Linked DNA regions of Drosophila melanogaster. The protein of the gene in region 1 interacts with the protein of each later gene in a pairwise test. Each region holds a gene or a part of one and is shown on either strand. Other genes may lie near its edges. The genes, in order: CG2930 and Rilpl.

Region 1 (8,088 bases):
TTTAAAGGCCAATGCAGCAAAATAGGATAAAGTTACCAGAGAAAGAGCTTCCTTTTTTTATACAGTTTGAAAATCAATTTGCAACACAGAAAATCAATTAAAACTATTAATAATCTGAATGAGATATATTTGCGATATTGTTGGTTTAATTAATTATTTCGCAGTGGCAATTGGAAATTTCCCTTAAATATAGCCAATTTGTGGGCTTATTGAACTCCAGACGAGGATCAGTACTTTTTTGCTTTTATTGTCTCTTTTGTCTCTTATTGGAAAAAAATAAACAAAATTTACACGTAATATACATATATGTGCATATATTTTTCGTTAAATTAAAAGAAAGTTGAGTTTATGCATCTTATACATATGCACATTCCTACAACGTAATGATTTTTAAAGTAAATTTAATATTTTTCTTCGATTTCAAGTGACGCGTAACGGATGTGAAGCGATCTCCGGGTTCCCAACATGACGGATAAAAAAAATGGTATTGTTAATTACTAAAAATAACCACAGATGCATAATTATAGTTTTTACAGAGGGGTGGCGATTATACAGACTACTGAACCGAGATTTATGGCCCATATTTTTGTGAGGCTCGAGTTTTACTCATTGTTTCGATTTCTAGACATGCTATATAAGCCACACAAAATACACCTCACCATAGATTGCAATAGTGTTCTTATTTAGTTTATTGCACCTATTTACTTCGATACTCCTCACCCTTCAGTTTTAATCAGTGGCCGTTGGGTAACGTGCAAGTTATAAGAATTGGCGGAATACATCTCCACTTGCCAGTTATGACTCAACGGACGAACGATTTTCAGAACTCCAGGTTCGCAACTACGATAATCGGTTCTCTTGGCCGCGTGTGCAGTTTGCAAATCTAATCGCTCTGATAAGGGACTTTGAGTGACTGGCCCCGGGTTTTAGCCACTTGAGCGGCTCCAACACAAGCAACGAGCAGGTCCAAATGTGGATTTACTTTCGACGGTCCCCAAAAAAGAGCTGCCAAACTTGGTCAATTGGCACGGACCAACCTTGCCTATATACTTGCCTATTCAAATCTCAAAAAATAAATAACTCGACTTGCCTACACCGATGCAAATTTTCCAATTTGTACAACTGTGTGCGCCTGCATTTCAATGTCAGACGCCGGCTTCATTTGCATATTCGTAGGCAAACTGCCAATGCGGGTGTTTAAAACAAATGCGGCTAAAATTGCGATTACGATTTCGTTTGGTATACCAAACACACACACACACACACCACTTGCTGACAAATCGCTGGGAGAGCCTGTAGTAAATGCAACCGCTTGCAATTAGTGAGTGAGTAGTTCGCCTGGAATTTGCCATTTCGTATTTGGTTGCTCCATGCGGAGCAGAACCCGGTCGAATTGGATGGGGCGGTGCCGATATGGGGTCGTAATTGCCGCTTCGAACGGAACAAGACAATCAAAGTTTTGCTCACTACCGAAAACATCGAACTTATCTATCTGACAACTTCCATTGAATAATTCTGTTTCTTTGCCGCCGTAAAAAGCAATTGTAATTAAAACTGGGCCAAAGCGCCAGCTCCTGCGGCGCTTATCATTTCGCTGGACCAATAAACATCGCGCTCGTTCTAATCGCTTGTAAATCAGTTGGAATGCTTTTAGACCCTCTTCATGGCGATTATGTATGTTATTGGGTAGGTGTGAAATTTACAACCTATTTGATGGCCAATCGATGAACAAACCGACGATTATGCGATATCAATGCCGATATGCAATGTCATTAAAGAATCACTCACTACTATATATAGCCAATCCAATTATGTTCATCCGTTCTCGAATTCCAGAAGAATTTCTCTGCATATCACAGTTAGCGATAGTTCAACGCACATCCTAACCACCTATCAATCAATCAATCAATCAATCAATCTATAGGTCCCAGGGCTCTTAGAGCTTAAGTAAAGAAATCTTGAGAAAGTGAAATTGAGAACACTTTCACAGCACTTTCCCTCCGAAACTTTACAACTGCACTCAGGGCATACCAGGCTTATCTAATTATTTATAGGTAAAGCCCTCAGTGTACTCATTTTTCAATTAGCTTGTTGAAAATTACGGAGTATCAGCGACTCCGATTGGTCTACGGCTTTTATGGAGCCCAATCGAGTGGATTGAGTGGAGATCCGTCTGGAGATCAATTTTCCGTCCTTCGGTGACACTTGGCCAGTTCCCTGGCACTAAACACTACGCTATTAGCGGCTGCAAAATGAATGAATGAATGAGTGGTTTTGAGTGTGAATGTGAGTGGCAGGCCTGGTCTACCAACTTCAAACGGCCACCGAAGCGGGTCAATGCTGTACACGTCTGGTACTTGTATATTTTGTATATCTCTGTTTCCCTGCGATAAGGCGCTTTATGTTAATGGATGTTTGATGTGAAGTGTAGTGCGTGCAATAGCATTGTTTCCACGGTTTATGGAGCCATGTGATGGCTGCTATACATTACTGCCTCAAATAGCGGTCATAAACGCTGATAAAGCATCGATGGATTAGCTGCGAACCGATTCTGGATCGCAGTTAGATAAGGCCCATTCATTGGTCGCCATTCGGGACTTTCGCAGTTCGCAGTTCGCTTCCTGAATCATCAACCATCGAACAGATACAGATCCAGTTGTCCGAACATGGCCATGACCATGACTAGCTGCACTAGGCACCAGCTGCAATTACCATTCGATCCACATGGACATGACCATTAAAGCTCCAGCAGACATTTAGACGCAGCATTGTCAGTAATCAGCATGTTGTTTATGGCGTGGAAAGCCATACTCCCAGCCAGTTTGTCAAAGTGTGGAGGCGATCGCCGAGAGAGCTATCTTCCCTAGCTGGGTTATCTGACGCCCGCCACTGGCGTAAACCTCGTAAAAGCTCGGGGCCTAAGGCTGGATAATTTATGCCGGGCCACCGAATTCACACGCCCGCCGTTGAAGTAAAGGCCCGTTCAAATATAGAACAGTCCTTATCTGTGGCGGAGGTGTCAAGCACAAGGCCACAAGTCTCGGTTTCGGTTTCTGATGAAATGTCGCCGATCCTCAGATCACTAACGAATCTCAGTGGCCATATGAAATGGAGCTGCCGGCGGAGCAAGTACCCCTGCTGGGTGGGCTCTCCAAGTTTTCGATTATTGCATTTCGAATTACTAACCTGGATCCTTCTTTCGTCCGCAGAAATACAGCCAGCGGCTGAGCCTGTGGCTGAACCAGAGCCTTCTCCCGCGGCCGAAATAGCTCCTGCAAGTCCCGATGGCTCCGGTCCAAGTGCTGCCGCTGCAGAAGAAGTCACCCCGAGTGTTGCGACCGTTGAAGACACTACCCCGATTGCAGCCCCTGCAGAGAGTCAACCGTCCGGCGAGAGCAACGGCACGGCGGAGGCCAAGAAGCTGCCCGAGATCGCTAAAAAGAATGGCAAGGAGCCCGACCAGAATGACAAGGAGCCCGACCAGAATGGCAAGGAACTGGCAGAGACCAATGACTTCAAGAACGTCTCCGAGACTGAGGGTCAGCAGAAGGTAATCGTCATTGGTGCTCTTTAACAAGTATTGAAGCAAACACTGTACTTACCTTTTCATTGACACCCACAGAAACTGCCCTACCCCAAGTCCGTGTTCTTCATCATCAGTAACGAATTCTGCGAACGTTTCAACTATTACGGCATGAGGAGTAAGTTAATCGCAAAGTATCTTACAATGAAATCTCTGCTAATCGCTCGTACTCCATTCAGCTGTTTTGGTTCTGTATCTGAGTCGAGTTCTGGGCTATTCTGATGATACCGCCACCGTGGTCTTCCATATCTTCACCATGTTCGTGTACTTCCTGTGCGTTTTTGGAGCCATCATTTCGGACTCTTGGCTGGGAAAATTCAAGACTATCCTGTATTTATCGCTGGTTTATATATGCGGATCGGTGCTGCTGACCCTAGGTGCCATTGGACCACTTAACCTGCCCATGGAAACGTTTACGATGTTGGGCCTGGCGTTAATTGCCCTTGGTTCAGGCGGCATTAAGCCGTGTGTGTCGGCATTCGGTGGCGATCAGTTTAAGGTGCCGGAGCAGGTGAAGCAGATCACTTCGTTCTTCTCGCTCTTTTACTTTTCGATCAATGCCGGATCGCTGATCTCCACCACGGTGACTCCAATATTGCGCGAGGACGTGTCCTGCTTTGACGACATTAACTGCTATCCATTGGCCTTTGGAGTACCGGCCGTACTTATGATTGTGTCGGTGATCATCTTCGTTTTGGGACGATCCCTGTACAAGATGAAGCCACCGGCCGGAAATATGGTGGTGCTTGTGAGCAGTACCATCTGGACAGCCCTGACCACCAAATGTAAGGAGAAAAAGACCAATCCGCGGGAGCACTGGCTGGACTATGCCGATAAAAAGTACGACCGCCAGTTGATTGACGATGTAAAGGTCCTTATGCGAGTCCTCTTCCTCTACCTGCCACTTCCGGTCTTCTGGGCACTGTTTGATCAGCAGGGCTCCCGTTGGACCTTCCAGGCCACCCGAATGGACGGCGACATGGGCTCCTGGGACATCAAGCCCGACCAGTTGCAAGTGCTCAATCCTCTGCTCATCCTAATCTTTATACCGTTGTACGATGTGGCCCTCTATCCGGCCCTGAAACTAGTGGGTATCCGACGACCGCTGCAGAAACTCACCATGGGCGGCATCCTTGCGGGCATTGCTTTCATCATTTCCGGAGTGGTGGAGCTTAGCTTGGAGGTGAGTAATTGTTCGAAAATGCTTGTTGGCTTGGGACTTAAAGCTCTGAAAGTATTTAATTGGGAAGTTTTAAAGTATTTTTAACTGCTGTGCTTATATATATTGTATTGTACTGTACCTGCACCTGCACTTTCCGTTTTTCTTTCGTTGCACGCCTTGCTGTCGTTAGAAAACCTATCCCGACCTGCCCTACAGCCAGAACATCCAACTGCGCATCTTCAACGCGGACAACTGCGACTACTTCTTCACTTCGAACATTCCGGGAGCGGAAAATGTGACGGTGACCTCGTTGAATGCCTATACCAACAAGGATATTTACGCACCCGGTTCGCTGGACGTGGAGTTCTCGCTCAGCAGTGCAAGTGAAGCTTGTACCATTAGCGCTGACAAAATACCTAAAGTCCTTACTGATAATACGGCTTGGTCTCTGTTCCTCAATCCGCTAAATGGTAGTGGATACTACTGGGAGGAGGATTTTGTGGACAAGCCGAGCCAGAGCCATCCGCTGATCCGAAACGTCGCTAATGTGCCGCAGGAGCTGTCAATTCGTTGGGAAAAGGCTAGCACGGGAGAGGTGGTCTATGACGACCTGGCTAGCAAAACGTTGCTCACGCGTGTGAATTCGGCGGAGTATGTAGTCATGGTGGGCGAAAGGAACGTCGGAACATTCGATGTTCACACCGGCGGCGTGTACACACTCCTGATTAAAGATAACAACAACATTTACGAGGCCAATTTGGAGGAAGTGACGAGCCCCAACTCGGTAAAGATCCTTTGGCTGGTGCCGCAGTACGTGGTGATGACCCTCGGCGAGGTGATGTTCTCGGTGACGGGACTGGAGTTCTCATACGCCCAGGCACCACCCAGCATGAAGAGTGTCCTGCAGGCCTGTTGGCTGCTAACGGTGGCCTTCGGCAACGTCATTGTGGTCGTCATCGCCGAGGCCGCCTTATTCGAATCGCAGGCCAGCGAGTTCTTCCTGTTCGCCGGCCTCATGTTCGCCGACATGTTGATCTTCATGGTGATGGCCTACTACTATGTGCCCAACGATCCGAACAAGGTGGAGGAGGCCCAGCCCCTGACGGCGGGTGATGCCAAAACAGAGATTCCCGCTCTCGAAGGCGGAGTCGAGAACAAGGGCAAGGACATCAACGAGTAGACCTCAAACCGATTCGTCCTGCTTGCTCCCGCGTTGTGTATTATATATATATATATTTGTACTTGTAGATGTGTATATGTATGTAAATCCTTAGTGGCCTTTGTCCATTTCCAAGCTAAGTGTAAGTGAAGCTGCGACCGGGCATTGTTGCATATGAAAAGACATCCAACTAGTTAATCTAATAAAAGAAAATTAATAATATAATCCGTCGTTGTTACTATTCTTGTTGTCTCTCTATCTGCTTTAATACTCTTAATTGTTTCTTTTCACCTATGACCTGGATTTTACTCAGTATGATAGTCTTATACGATATCATTCCGGAGATTTCTGGTATTGCTCCGATCTAATATATTAGTACCAGCTTGCACGTATATCTTCCACCCTTGCAGCACACTTACCCATTGATCCCGAGCAGTGGTAATACCCAGCTACGCGTCTTCAGCGGTATTCCCGACTGCGATTATCGCTTTAGTACGAACCTCGGAGCCCGGGAGAGCTTCACCTTAAGGGGGCTGGACTTCTACTATTCGGGTAGCGTGGCCACGAACACCGACGGCATCTTCCAGTTAACATACACCGTGGAAAGTTTAACTGAAGGTATGTTACCACGTTATCGCGATCCTCCTATTCAAGAGAACTTGTTGATGTAAGAACTCGTGAATATGTTTAAAGCCCACCATCCTCTTTGGAGCGTTAAGCTGTCAACACAAATAGAATCACTTCAGTGGTCACAAGGTTTTCGGATGTTTGAGAGTATCTTAGAATGGCTGATAAGCCATTAGTAGTAATTACTAGTAACTTTTTTGGGTAGTATTTTGAATTGGGTATGGGTAGTATAGTTGAAATGGGTATTCTACCACAATTTGTACTTTATTCTGAATGGTGTACCCCTTAGGTTGCGCAATCCTGGAGGGCGGAACACAGCAGTTGTATGAGGCCACCGCCCACTCACTGTTCCTGCGACCTTCGCACGCCATCACTAAGTTTTGGTACGAGGACGAGGTGCAGAAGTCGAATCGCTCGTGGGCTTTTGTGCGAAACTTGGCGAATCTCTTGGCCACCACGCGTGTCGTTTGGCGGGAGGATTCAGGGGATACGGTGGCCCTGGATTTGCCCGCCCGCAATCATGATCTCTACGAGCTAAGTACGGGCGGTTACAACGTTCAGGTGGCGGATCACAATCTTACCAGCATAGAGTTACGCGCTGGGGGCGTTTACGCCCTGCTGATCGGCCAGAGTCACGGAACATTCGTATCGCGAATCATAGAGGTAACCAGCCCCAATTCGATGCACATGCTCTGGCTGGTGCCGCAGTACGTGGTAATGACCCTCGGTGAGGTGATGTTCTCGGTGACGGGACTGGAGTTCTCCTATTCCCAGTCGCCGCCCAGCATGAAAAGTGTCCTGCAGGCCTGCTGGCTGCTAACAGTGGCCTTCGGCAACGTTATCGTCGTGGTTGTGGCGGAACTCAAGTTCTTCGACTCGCAAGCCAGCGAGTTCTTCCTGTTCGCTGGCCTCATGTTTGTCGACATGCTGGTCTTCATGTTCGTGGCCTACTACTATAAGCCATATGATGAGGTGGCTGCTCTGGCGGAGAGGGTAAGGGCCAGACGGGAACGGAAATGGCAGGATCTCGACCGATTCAAGAGGGACTAGGAATACGGATGCCTGATTGTCATTTGAATCTGTCCGCTTATTATATCCTTATGTGCAGTTCTTTTACGATTCGAAATAAATATCCCCCAAATATGGCAGAACAAAGACTTTTTAATATCCGCCATCATCCTTTGAATTGTTTTAATACGCTAAGTTGAGTGTTAAATAAGTTATATTAAATGTTACTGACCATTGCCTTTACATTTATCCAGCGCTCAACTTGTTTATTACCGCCAGTGGACTCTGCACTTAGTTTATCATTAAAATATAAGTCCACTGCACTTAGTATATCAATAAAATATAAGTCTACTGCACTTAGTATATCATTAAAATATAAAATGTAGGTTTATATTAGTATAACTGTAACGAATATTCAAGCTCGCGCGGAGTTGCCAGATCACAACTTAACAGCGTGCTGTTATGCGCATGTTGTCACCTGACATTCCGCCTTTTTTAGTACCTTTTGCGCTGACATTTGGTCGAGAAAAATATAAGAAGAGGAAGAGT
Region 2 (9,490 bases), 2.5 Mb from region 1:
TGAAGCTGCTGCTCAAAAAGGACCTATGCGGCGAGGACAAGAGCAACCATTCGTTCATGGACCTGCTCAACACGCTGTCGCACCAGGAGTCCGTGGCCCAGTACATTGCCGAGCAGCTGTCGCCGGAGGGCGCGGGCGGTGGCGGCGGCGGCGGTAAGCAAGGCGGCGCGGGCAACGGAGGCGGAAACGGACACCAATCGGACGACTACGACGACTCCAAGGTGGGCTTAAAATTCAGATCTGTGCATAAGTGTCCCATCCGGTGCTTAAGTCTCAAGACTCAAGTCACTTGGTCCACTTGGTGAACGTGGTGCACTTCATCTAACCCACTAATCCAGATGAATAGCTTTCTACTTTCTTGACTCTCTGAACCCTGTGAATCCTACTAAAACGCTGTCCATGATGGTTTCAGTATCATTTATTTTCCTCACACTTGCAGATGCCCCACTACCACGAGGGCATGGACACGGACGTGATCCTTATCAAGTCGGAGACAATTAGCGACAACGAGCAGACGGACAATGGCATGGACTGCCTGGACGAGGACGATGACGACGACTGCTTGAGCCACAAGGCGCCGGAGGTGTGCCTCGAGGAGGAGGACGACGTGCTCTTTCCAACGGACGTGCGCCAGCTGCAGCAGGTGGGATCGTCCGGAGCCGCCGGCGGTGGTGTCTCCGGAGGCTCCCTTCCCGGAAACATGTCTAGCAACGGGATTACCGAAACCAGTCGCCGCGCCGCAAGCTCGCCCGTGTGCTCCACGAAGACCTCGATTAGTTCCAGCGGGAGCTACGCATCAGCGCCCAAACCGGACATCACTATCCAGACCGTGGGCCACATACGCGTGGGCAGCTTTGCCAACATCAACAAGACGCTGCAGAACGGCGGCTCCGGCACAGGAGCTGTCCTATCAGCGGCCAGCAATGGCGGCTCCAGTGCCAGTGGAGTGCTGCCGCTCACAGCGGAGCAAGTGCAGCAGCACACGCTGCTGAACGGCCTAGGATTGTCCGCCGTGAATCCGGCTCAGTCTCTGCAGGCGGCCATCAATGCCGCCTATGGGTCCGCCGCTCCATCTTCATCGGTCGCCATTAGCAGCCGCCGCACCCCTCCCACTCTGCAGTTGCCACGCCTTCAGCGCGGAAACATCAACAATAGCCACCACACTGCCGGCAGCACAAGCAATTCCGCGGTGGCCTCCAATGGAGTGCAACTGTTGCTCAACGGCGGCCACCACGCACAGATGACGCACAACCATTTGGCGCGGGACAAGACAGGAGGCGTGGCCATCGGGGCGGCGGGCAGTTTCAACGGGTACAACGGACTGGCAGTGGCGGGCACAGTGTGCAGCGCCTTGAACAGCAGCGGATCCGGAGCCGGAAGCGGCGGGAGCAGTGCCAACAACAGCGGCGTGGGCCTGGGGATCGGCGGGGCACACACGTCGGGCAGCGGAGGAAGTGGCAGCGGTGGGACGAGGAGCCAGCACCAGGAGCTGATGAATTCGCTGAGGATCGAGGAGAGCAAGCGGAAAATCGACCTGATCAACGCCCAAATCGAATACTGGCAGACGCTCACCCGCAAGCTGAACAGTCAGGCGAATCACATGCCCAATCCTGCGTGCCCGTGCCACTTCCCTGGAGCCAGTGTGCTCTCGCCCGTCGCCGTGACCGCCGCTAGTGCCTCATCGTCCGCTTCCGCCAATGTGTTGCAGACGCAGGCCAGCACCAGCTAGTCCGCAGCCAAGGGGCGGTTCGAACTAGTCGGGGGTCCTGCGGGCGAAAGCGAAAGCGACAGCGACATCATCTCGATAGTGGACATAGATGATGGGCGGTCTAGGGAGGACGAGCAGTCGGAGGACGATGGCGAGAACCGTGACCAGGCCATAACGGACCTGACGCTACCCGACGAAGACGAGGAAGACGATGTAGACGAAGATGACTCACAGGATGCCTTGGTCAGGGATGTTGGCGTGGTGGGCGGCCTGTCGTCGCCAGATACACCGCCCCACTCCTCTCCGCCGCCAGCGAAGCGCTCGAAGCGCCAGGAAGTCACCTCCGAGCTCCTGAGGCAGCTGGCCCTGCAGCAGAATCAGGATCCCCAGGAGGGGTGCTAGTATTTTGTCTAGTTTGCTAATTTTATACTTGCTACCATGGATTGACGCAACCACTTTGTAACATTAATTTTACCATATATATTTATTTACGCCCAGTTTGAGTGCCAAAACAGAAACCAAGATTGGGGCCTTGCCATCGAAAATGCTTGCCAAAGGACCTGCTGAAATAACCGGTCATAACCACTCGCGACCCACTATTTATTTGCCAGCCTAACTGAAACATAGCGATTCATCTCATTTTAAAATGTCTTGCGTCGCCTATTTTTTTATTGCCTTTTTTTTTCTATACATGTAACGTGTTTATTTTTAAGTTTTCCTACGAGCTGCTACCAAAAAGAATAAGAAGAAGAAGGTGACTATCTTGAATGTACATTTACTTTACAAAACTAGACCTTACTTACTTACTTAATTAGAGATCGAGCAGCTAAGAACGCATGAAAATGAAATGTACAAATGTGGTTCCTAATCTAGTCCCTAAAGTCAAAAGTGAAGAACGAAAGAGCTACAGAAAAGAAATCGAAATTGTTACGCCTAGCCGAGAACTTGTGTATTATTTTTTTATATCGCTTAGATTGTTCCCCCGAGGAAAGCATTGAAGGAACTGTAGCTAATTTATGTACTTAATGAACCAGTGAAACCAAACCAATGATTTGAAATGGTGTAAAGAGAAGAAACTTGCTAGTCGCCGCTGCATAACTGTGTAAATGTGGCACACAAACCATTTAGTTAGTGTTAGTGCTACTGTACGTGTAAAATACAATTAATTGCCTATCCAGACCCAGTAACCACAATTTACAAGGAAGCACACACCAAACGAAACTGAAAACCAAGAAAACAAAACTATTTATACAATTTTGTAAACAAGAACTTATTAATAAAACAATGAATTTACTTTGTGGCCCAGCCTGTTGACTTTTGGATAGTAAAATTTCGTTTAAGGCTTAACATTTTGGCACTTACGCTCATTTTGCTCGCTTAAGCTGCTCTTCATTTGGCGCCAAACGAATTGGCGTTGCCCAACACTGACCAGCCAGCACAAAGCGCTACCAGACTGCGCAACCGACTGCTCATCTGGGAACTGGTTCGCACATATGGGCGCCCGCGAACCAGTTATTCGTTACTCATCAGTTCCAGTTCGGTTCAGCAAAAATTGTGCAAATAAATTGCGGAAAGTCGGATTGTTTATGTGGGAATCGGCAGCGAAAAGCGACTCGGCGGCAGTAACAACTAGAGTGAATGAAGTGAGCACTGCCACTCCCACGCACACTACTGTGCAGTCTGTGTGCGCCAACTGTGAATTGCGAAGTGCGAATTCCGTACTTCGGATTGCGGATTCCCCCCCTCCCTTAAAGCACTTGGAAAACCAACACCTGGCGCACGTACACGCACACGCACACTTGTCCTGCTAGCGAAAGAAAAATCCCTGTCAGCTGGTGCAGCGATTCCCGAAGCAACTCCGAGGAGCAGGACACCGTGGAAAGAGGCGACAACTGAAGCTGGTCTTCAGTGAACACAGAGTCCAGTGAGCAAGTGTGAGCAAGTAAACAAGTGATACAGCGCTTGGCAGGAGTCACAGATTATCTGAGCGACCACCTGGATGCCCGGCTTTCACCTCAATGAGATGGGTGAAATGGTCCTGGACGCCATCGACGACATCGGCGTGGTCGATGTGTACGACTTGGCCTCCGACATTGGCAAGGAGTACGAGCGGATCATGGACCGCTTCGGCACGGACGCCGTCAGCGGGCTGATGCCCAAGATCATCAACACCCTGGAGCTGTTGGAGGCGCTGGCCACGAAGAACGAGCGCGAGAACGCCACCATCCAGGAGCTGCGCGATAAGGTGGCCCAGCTGGAGAGCGAGAAGCTGGAGAAGGCCGAGTTCCGGCGGCGGTTCGACAAGGAGCTGGAGCTGATCGAAGAGCAGTGGCGCAGCGAGACCAACGAGCTGGTCGATCTCGTCTCCTCGCTGCAAGACGAGAACAAGCGGCTGGTAAAGCAGACTCAGGATCTGCAGTCATCGTCCGCCCAGAGCTCCGGCCTGGGGGCCAGTCTCACCGAGAGCATTATCAGCATGACCAACCACGAGCTGCACAGCGCTCTTTCGGATACTCAAGTGCTGCAACGGCTGAAGGAGCAGATATACAAGCAGCGCGACGAGTTGAAGCACCGCGAGCGTGAGCTGCAGGACAAGTACAGCGAGCTGGAGCACGTGAGTGTCCTTAAGGATAGGTGCTCATATTCCCAGCTAACGTATTCTTAACTAACCCTTCCCAGCTCAATATCCAGGCGGAGCGTCTGAAGGCATCAGAGCGAGATACCCGGCGCCGCCACAAGCTGATGCAGGCCCAAGTGAAGACGCTGTGCGAGGAGCGCGCCGACTTTCTTGCCCAGCTGCAGGACCAGAGCCGGGAGATCAACCAACTGCGCAAGCGATTGGGCCTGGCCGAAAAGGAGAATGAGGATTTGGTGGCCTCGTACGACGATGGCCAGAACGATCCCAACCGGCCGCGGTACACCACGCGCGAGCTGAAAGAGTTGATTAGCGAGCGCGATGAGCTGCTGACCACCATCGACACCCTCAACGAGCAGCTGGCGGAGCTGAAGCCACCAAGCCAGGCGAAGGGCAAGCGGCAGCGTCACTTCTCCAGCTCCGACGATAGCGATGAGGACGACGATGGTCACGTGGCGGACAACGATGATGACGACGACGAGGAGGAGGCGGCTGCCGAGGCGAACGAGCTGGAGCCACCAGCGGCCGGAGAAACGTGAGTGAGCCCATTTCTGTTACATCCTTTAGTTTTGTGGTCCCTCACCAGAGAAAACAAGAATTTATGAACGACCGCTTGAGTCAAAGTGATTAACGAACAAGCATTTTCAGCCTGAGTCATTCTTTTGTTGTTGCTCAGTGCTAACAATATTCAAATAGACCCTATGATGCAAACGTTTAATTGGCAGGTGATTCAGAGCTTAAACGTATATATTTGCGTGTTTTTTCGCAAGGTCAGCAGGTAACTGGTAAATGGCACAATTGGGAGTCAAACAAATCGTTGGATTCGGATCTATATGTTGATTATTTTTGAGTTTTTATAGCTAATTACTATCCCTAGTTATGATTACTTAAGTACATACATAGTGCATCGCTTTTCAGGCCACCTGGACACGATGCGCCCGTGCAGGGCCCTTTGCCCTACGAGCCGGACGATGCGCCCTGGAAGAAGAGCTCCGAGTCGGGAATACGCAAATTGTAAGTGGCATTCAATCGGCGTAGAGCTCTCGATTCACTTTCTGCATTGTAGCTTCCGGAAGCTGTTCTCGGACCCGTCGGACGGCAGCAACACGTTCCCGAAACGTTCCTTGGCCACGCTCTCCAAGATGGCGCTGTCGGCCACGCCCGGTTCCGTTTCCGCCTCCGCAGCGGCGAAGTAAGCGCCCCTTAAAGCATCCGAGTTGGCGTGCATTTCACTTTTCGTTTGTTTTCTGTTTTTCCGTTTCCGTTCCATTCCGTTCCGTTCCGTTTGCACTGCCCCCCGCACCCCTGCATCTTGCATCCTAATTTATTATTTATTTTTTACTTTTACGTCTTACGATTACGTTTACATTTAGTTTAGGCAACAGCCTGTATCTGACCCTGTCCCTCGCCATTCACCTGCTCCGCCTGAGCTGTACATACATAGTTTACACACTCGATTGCTGTGCCCTCATAATTCTAAGTTGTTATGCAATTTTGTTTACGTAATACGCGTTTTATTCGTAACTCGTAACCCCTAACTGTACTGGATATATTTAATACGAATCCACTTTGTATTTTTCGTACCTTCGATTTATTCTAACTTGATTAACGACTACCACATAAGACTCCAAACATACCACAGCCCCCACATGTGCACGTGTTTCAAAAATCAAGATCGAGAACGAAAACGAGAACGAAAACGATATCGAGATTGTGCAAAGATTGCCGAGTGAGTTTTTAATGAATTTAGACAAAAACAAGCTTAGAAAGACAAACAGTCCTCCCAGGTGCAGATGCAGAGAAAACGATTCGGTGAGATGAGGAGACGAGACGAGGAGGACTCTGGTTCTGGGACCCCAGATTTTAGAAAGTCTAGGTAGAACGGGAAGATTTTGCTTCAATTATCCGTAGTGTAACTGTCCCTAAGACCCCTGCATCTATCTAGATCTTCGGCTATCGCCAGCCCGTATGAGTATTTTAGCACTCTCATAGCAGTTGCCCCAAGCGGCCTTATAAATATATTACAAATTTATCAAAATACGCAAACCTTAGAGCGAAAGAAACCTAAAAGTATATATAATTGATATATAATTAGCAAACGTTACAACCTTAGCGCATTGTTTGTTGACTTGAATTGAACTAACTAACGAAACCAATCTCAGCATAGTAGATTCCATTGATAGCATTCGATTGCACAAAGATGCCAAAAAGCGAAAATCTCCGCGTTACCCCATTGCCGGCCGGCCAGTCTAAATCAAGGAATGTTTTAGCCAAGAGTTTTACCATAGACTTAGCCACTGACCAGCTCGAATTGTTGTTACCGCACCCAGACGACTTCGCCCAGAGCCCCCACTCCACTTGAAGCCCAGTGATTTCGAGGAGATCTCAGTCCGATCCTCGTTCATAGCTAGTATCCATGAGAGAGACGCCCATGTAGTGCAATTACCAATATGGTGTCACTTCCCGCTCCCCTTCCACTCACAAGCACAAAGCGAGGAAACTCCGTTTACATATCAGCTCCATCGCTATCGTCGATGCGAACGTGCCAAAGACTAATGGTCAGACCCTATGCCCCCATTATTCGCAACTCCCCCCCACTACCCACACCACGCACCGAACACCCAGCCCACAACACCCGACTTACCAATCTCAATTAACCCATCTCGTTTCGAACACAACAAAGAGTGGCAACTGAACTTTTATAAAATTGAACACGAGCGCGCAATGGCATCGATATGAAAAAGTGGACTAACGTTGAGTGGGTGAAGACCACGAAAAGAAGATGGAGAGAAATTGAGTATTTGGTGAATTAATGTTAACTAAATTTATATACACATATACACATGCATTATACATAATATACTTTACTATATACTATGTAATACCGTATTATATGGAACTATGACTAACCAAAAAGGCAACAAGGCAACAATTATACAAAATTCAAAGCGTACCAGGGTGGCACTTGGACCATGGACTGCAGGAGCGACCAGAGCGATAGCGAGCATCGGATCGGATCGGATTGGATCGCATCATGGTGAACCGCATCAGAGGGCGACGCCTCCGCATCCGGGTATCATCTGCTCACCCCTGTACGTACATCAAATTTATGAGTGGCTTCCTTTGAGCGACCACCAAAATAAACTTATGAACCGTGGAGTGGATTTCGAATGAATGATTTGGGTTGGCGGCAAGTGGAGCACTCGCTGTGCGGAACCTAAGGTGTTTATTTCATTATTTAACATTACTTATAAGTTCGTTTTTAATTTGGCTTATTTTCGATTGCTTTCAAAATTATTCCCAAGGTATTGTAAGAAACAAGTCGAGATCGGCAGAGAGTTCAAGATCATTGTCATCATCGTGTGTTTCATCGTCAGAAACGAAGGATGTTTGAAGACCATCTTCAAGTTCAAGTATTTTCACGTATCATAACATTTCATATCAAGCCTTAAAGGTTAGTAGCGACTTCAATTTGCCCATAAACACATTTCGGGGTGCTCTAGTCATTGGAGTTCTGGCTTCCATGTCGCCCGAGCCTGTAGCCTCTAGCTACTGATATCCTTTGCACAAGGACAGTCGGTGGGGTTGTATTTCGATCGTGCTTTTGGTACTAAGAAAAGGGGGTGGATGTCGAACAAGGCTGATTGCGTAACACCTGGCAGTGCATCCCATGGGATTCCCCCGCGCCCGACCACCCATCGCGGTGGTTGGAGCTTTCTCGCCACGAGCTTTTCGACTGAGCTTTACCCCGGGGCTCTGGGCCACCCACTTACCAAGCCACGAAGCCATCTTGCAGCATCGTCAACCCTGCGCATCCGCGTCCGCATCCTGCATCTCGTGCGGTGCGTAGCAGCATCTCGTGCCCCGTCCTCGAGTCCTTGCTGGGTCGCTTCTGCCGTTTACTGGGCGCCTGATCTCCATGCCGGGTTTGAGGCGTATCTAGGGCGTGGTGGTTGTTCCGGCTGGACGACCTTGAGCACCGCCCCTCATCTGCGATGGCGTTTTAATTGCCCAGCAACAGGCGATTTGTTGGTGGTGGTGGTGATGTGGTGGCGGCTCTTCGTTCGGGGATGCGTTCTGGCCATTCTCAACGGGATTTTCACGCAGTTCCAATTAAGCAATTAAAAATCTGCCACCGGACTTGGCGGCGAGACGTGGGCGGGTTCATGGTGGCCGGAGACGGCGTTGTCAGCTTTTTAATTAAGAAGATGTTAGCGTAATAGGATAGAAGGATATGCGCTGCGAAAATCGTAGGTCGAAATGTGCGCAGCTAATGAAGAAGGCCCCTGTGTTTTTGTGGTCACTGGGAGTGGGCCCCACAATTTCCACTAATTGCCCTGGCCTGGCATGGGCTGGCCAGAAAGAAAAGAATTAAGAGACGGAGCGGAGATAAAAGCGCTTAATGAGTTTCTGCAGAGGCCCCGTGCGACGATTTCAGGGGCCTTAGTCAGTCGATTTTTGAACAGGCTCGCAGCAGCCGCCGCAGAAGCTCCGTTGGATTTGGATTTGGATGCAAGGGGCAGCCCCACTCGAAACTCCCGCACTTCCACAGAGCCAGTACAGTGAATTCTGGAGATGGACAACTGCGCAAGTTGTGCTTTAGGCTGGGACACAGGACTCATTCGACGCAGTGAACCTGACGGAGTGCAACCAGTCCTACATGCTTATTTGTCTCGATTACCCAATGATACATGTGTATATATATGTATGTATATTGCATGCACCTAACCGGCTAACTGCATCGAAATGAGAGCGCTGGAAATACCGCGGTGCCAGCCAGCGAGGGTTCACTGTGCGTGTGCACACTCGCCGCAATCCAGCACCGCTCGTCGACTGCTGCTCCTCGATGAGCGCCTGAGCCCAAAAACTGTTTTTTACACAAGGACATTGCCATCTCATGGCCACCCTAAGATAGAGAAAGAGAAAGAGCGGGAGCGCACACTTTCACATCTTTCTCTTGCAGCGAGTGTGTGCGAGTAGTGAACGCGGGCCAGAGCGGGATGGGCGGAGCGCTGGTGGAGCTCTATAGCTGGCCCGCTCCCGCCGCAACATGCTGCAGCTGCTGCTGGTGCTGCTTTCTGGGCGCCTGTTTAGCGGCCAGCGCCAGGTTGGAACAAGAAAGCGAAAGTGTTAACGCTCGCGTACAT

What was found.
Region 2: the proteins of CG2930 (region 1) and Rilpl interact in a two-hybrid assay, tested with the Drosophila melanogaster proteins (one large-scale study listed by BioGRID).

The regions. Positions count from the first base shown.
Region 1 is NC_004354.4:3,872,693-3,880,780, forward strand, and holds CG2930 (uncharacterized protein), read left to right. Parts: upstream 1-3,073; 5' UTR 3,074-3,108; coding exon 3,109-3,142; intron 3,143-3,209; coding exon 3,210-3,550; intron 3,551-3,622; coding exon 3,623-3,701; intron 3,702-3,762; coding exon 3,763-4,766; intron 4,767-4,935; coding exon 4,936-5,925; 3' UTR 5,926-6,125; downstream 6,126-8,088.
Region 2 is NC_004354.4:1,389,837-1,399,326, forward strand, and holds Rilpl (Rab interacting lysosomal protein like), read left to right. Parts: upstream 1-3,217; 5' UTR 3,218-3,707; coding exon 3,708-4,322; intron 4,323-4,387; coding exon 4,388-4,878; intron 4,879-5,246; coding exon of another isoform or gene 5,247-5,261; coding exon 5,262-5,357; intron 5,358-5,409; coding exon 5,410-5,535; coding exon of another isoform or gene 5,536-5,539; exon of another isoform or gene 5,540-5,716; coding exon 5,717-5,849; 3' UTR 5,850-7,501; downstream 7,502-9,490. Other genes in the region: CG32813 (uncharacterized protein), read left to right, coding at 1-221, 413-1,729. UniProt on the Drosophila melanogaster protein: May have a role in lysosome distribution by interacting with Arl8.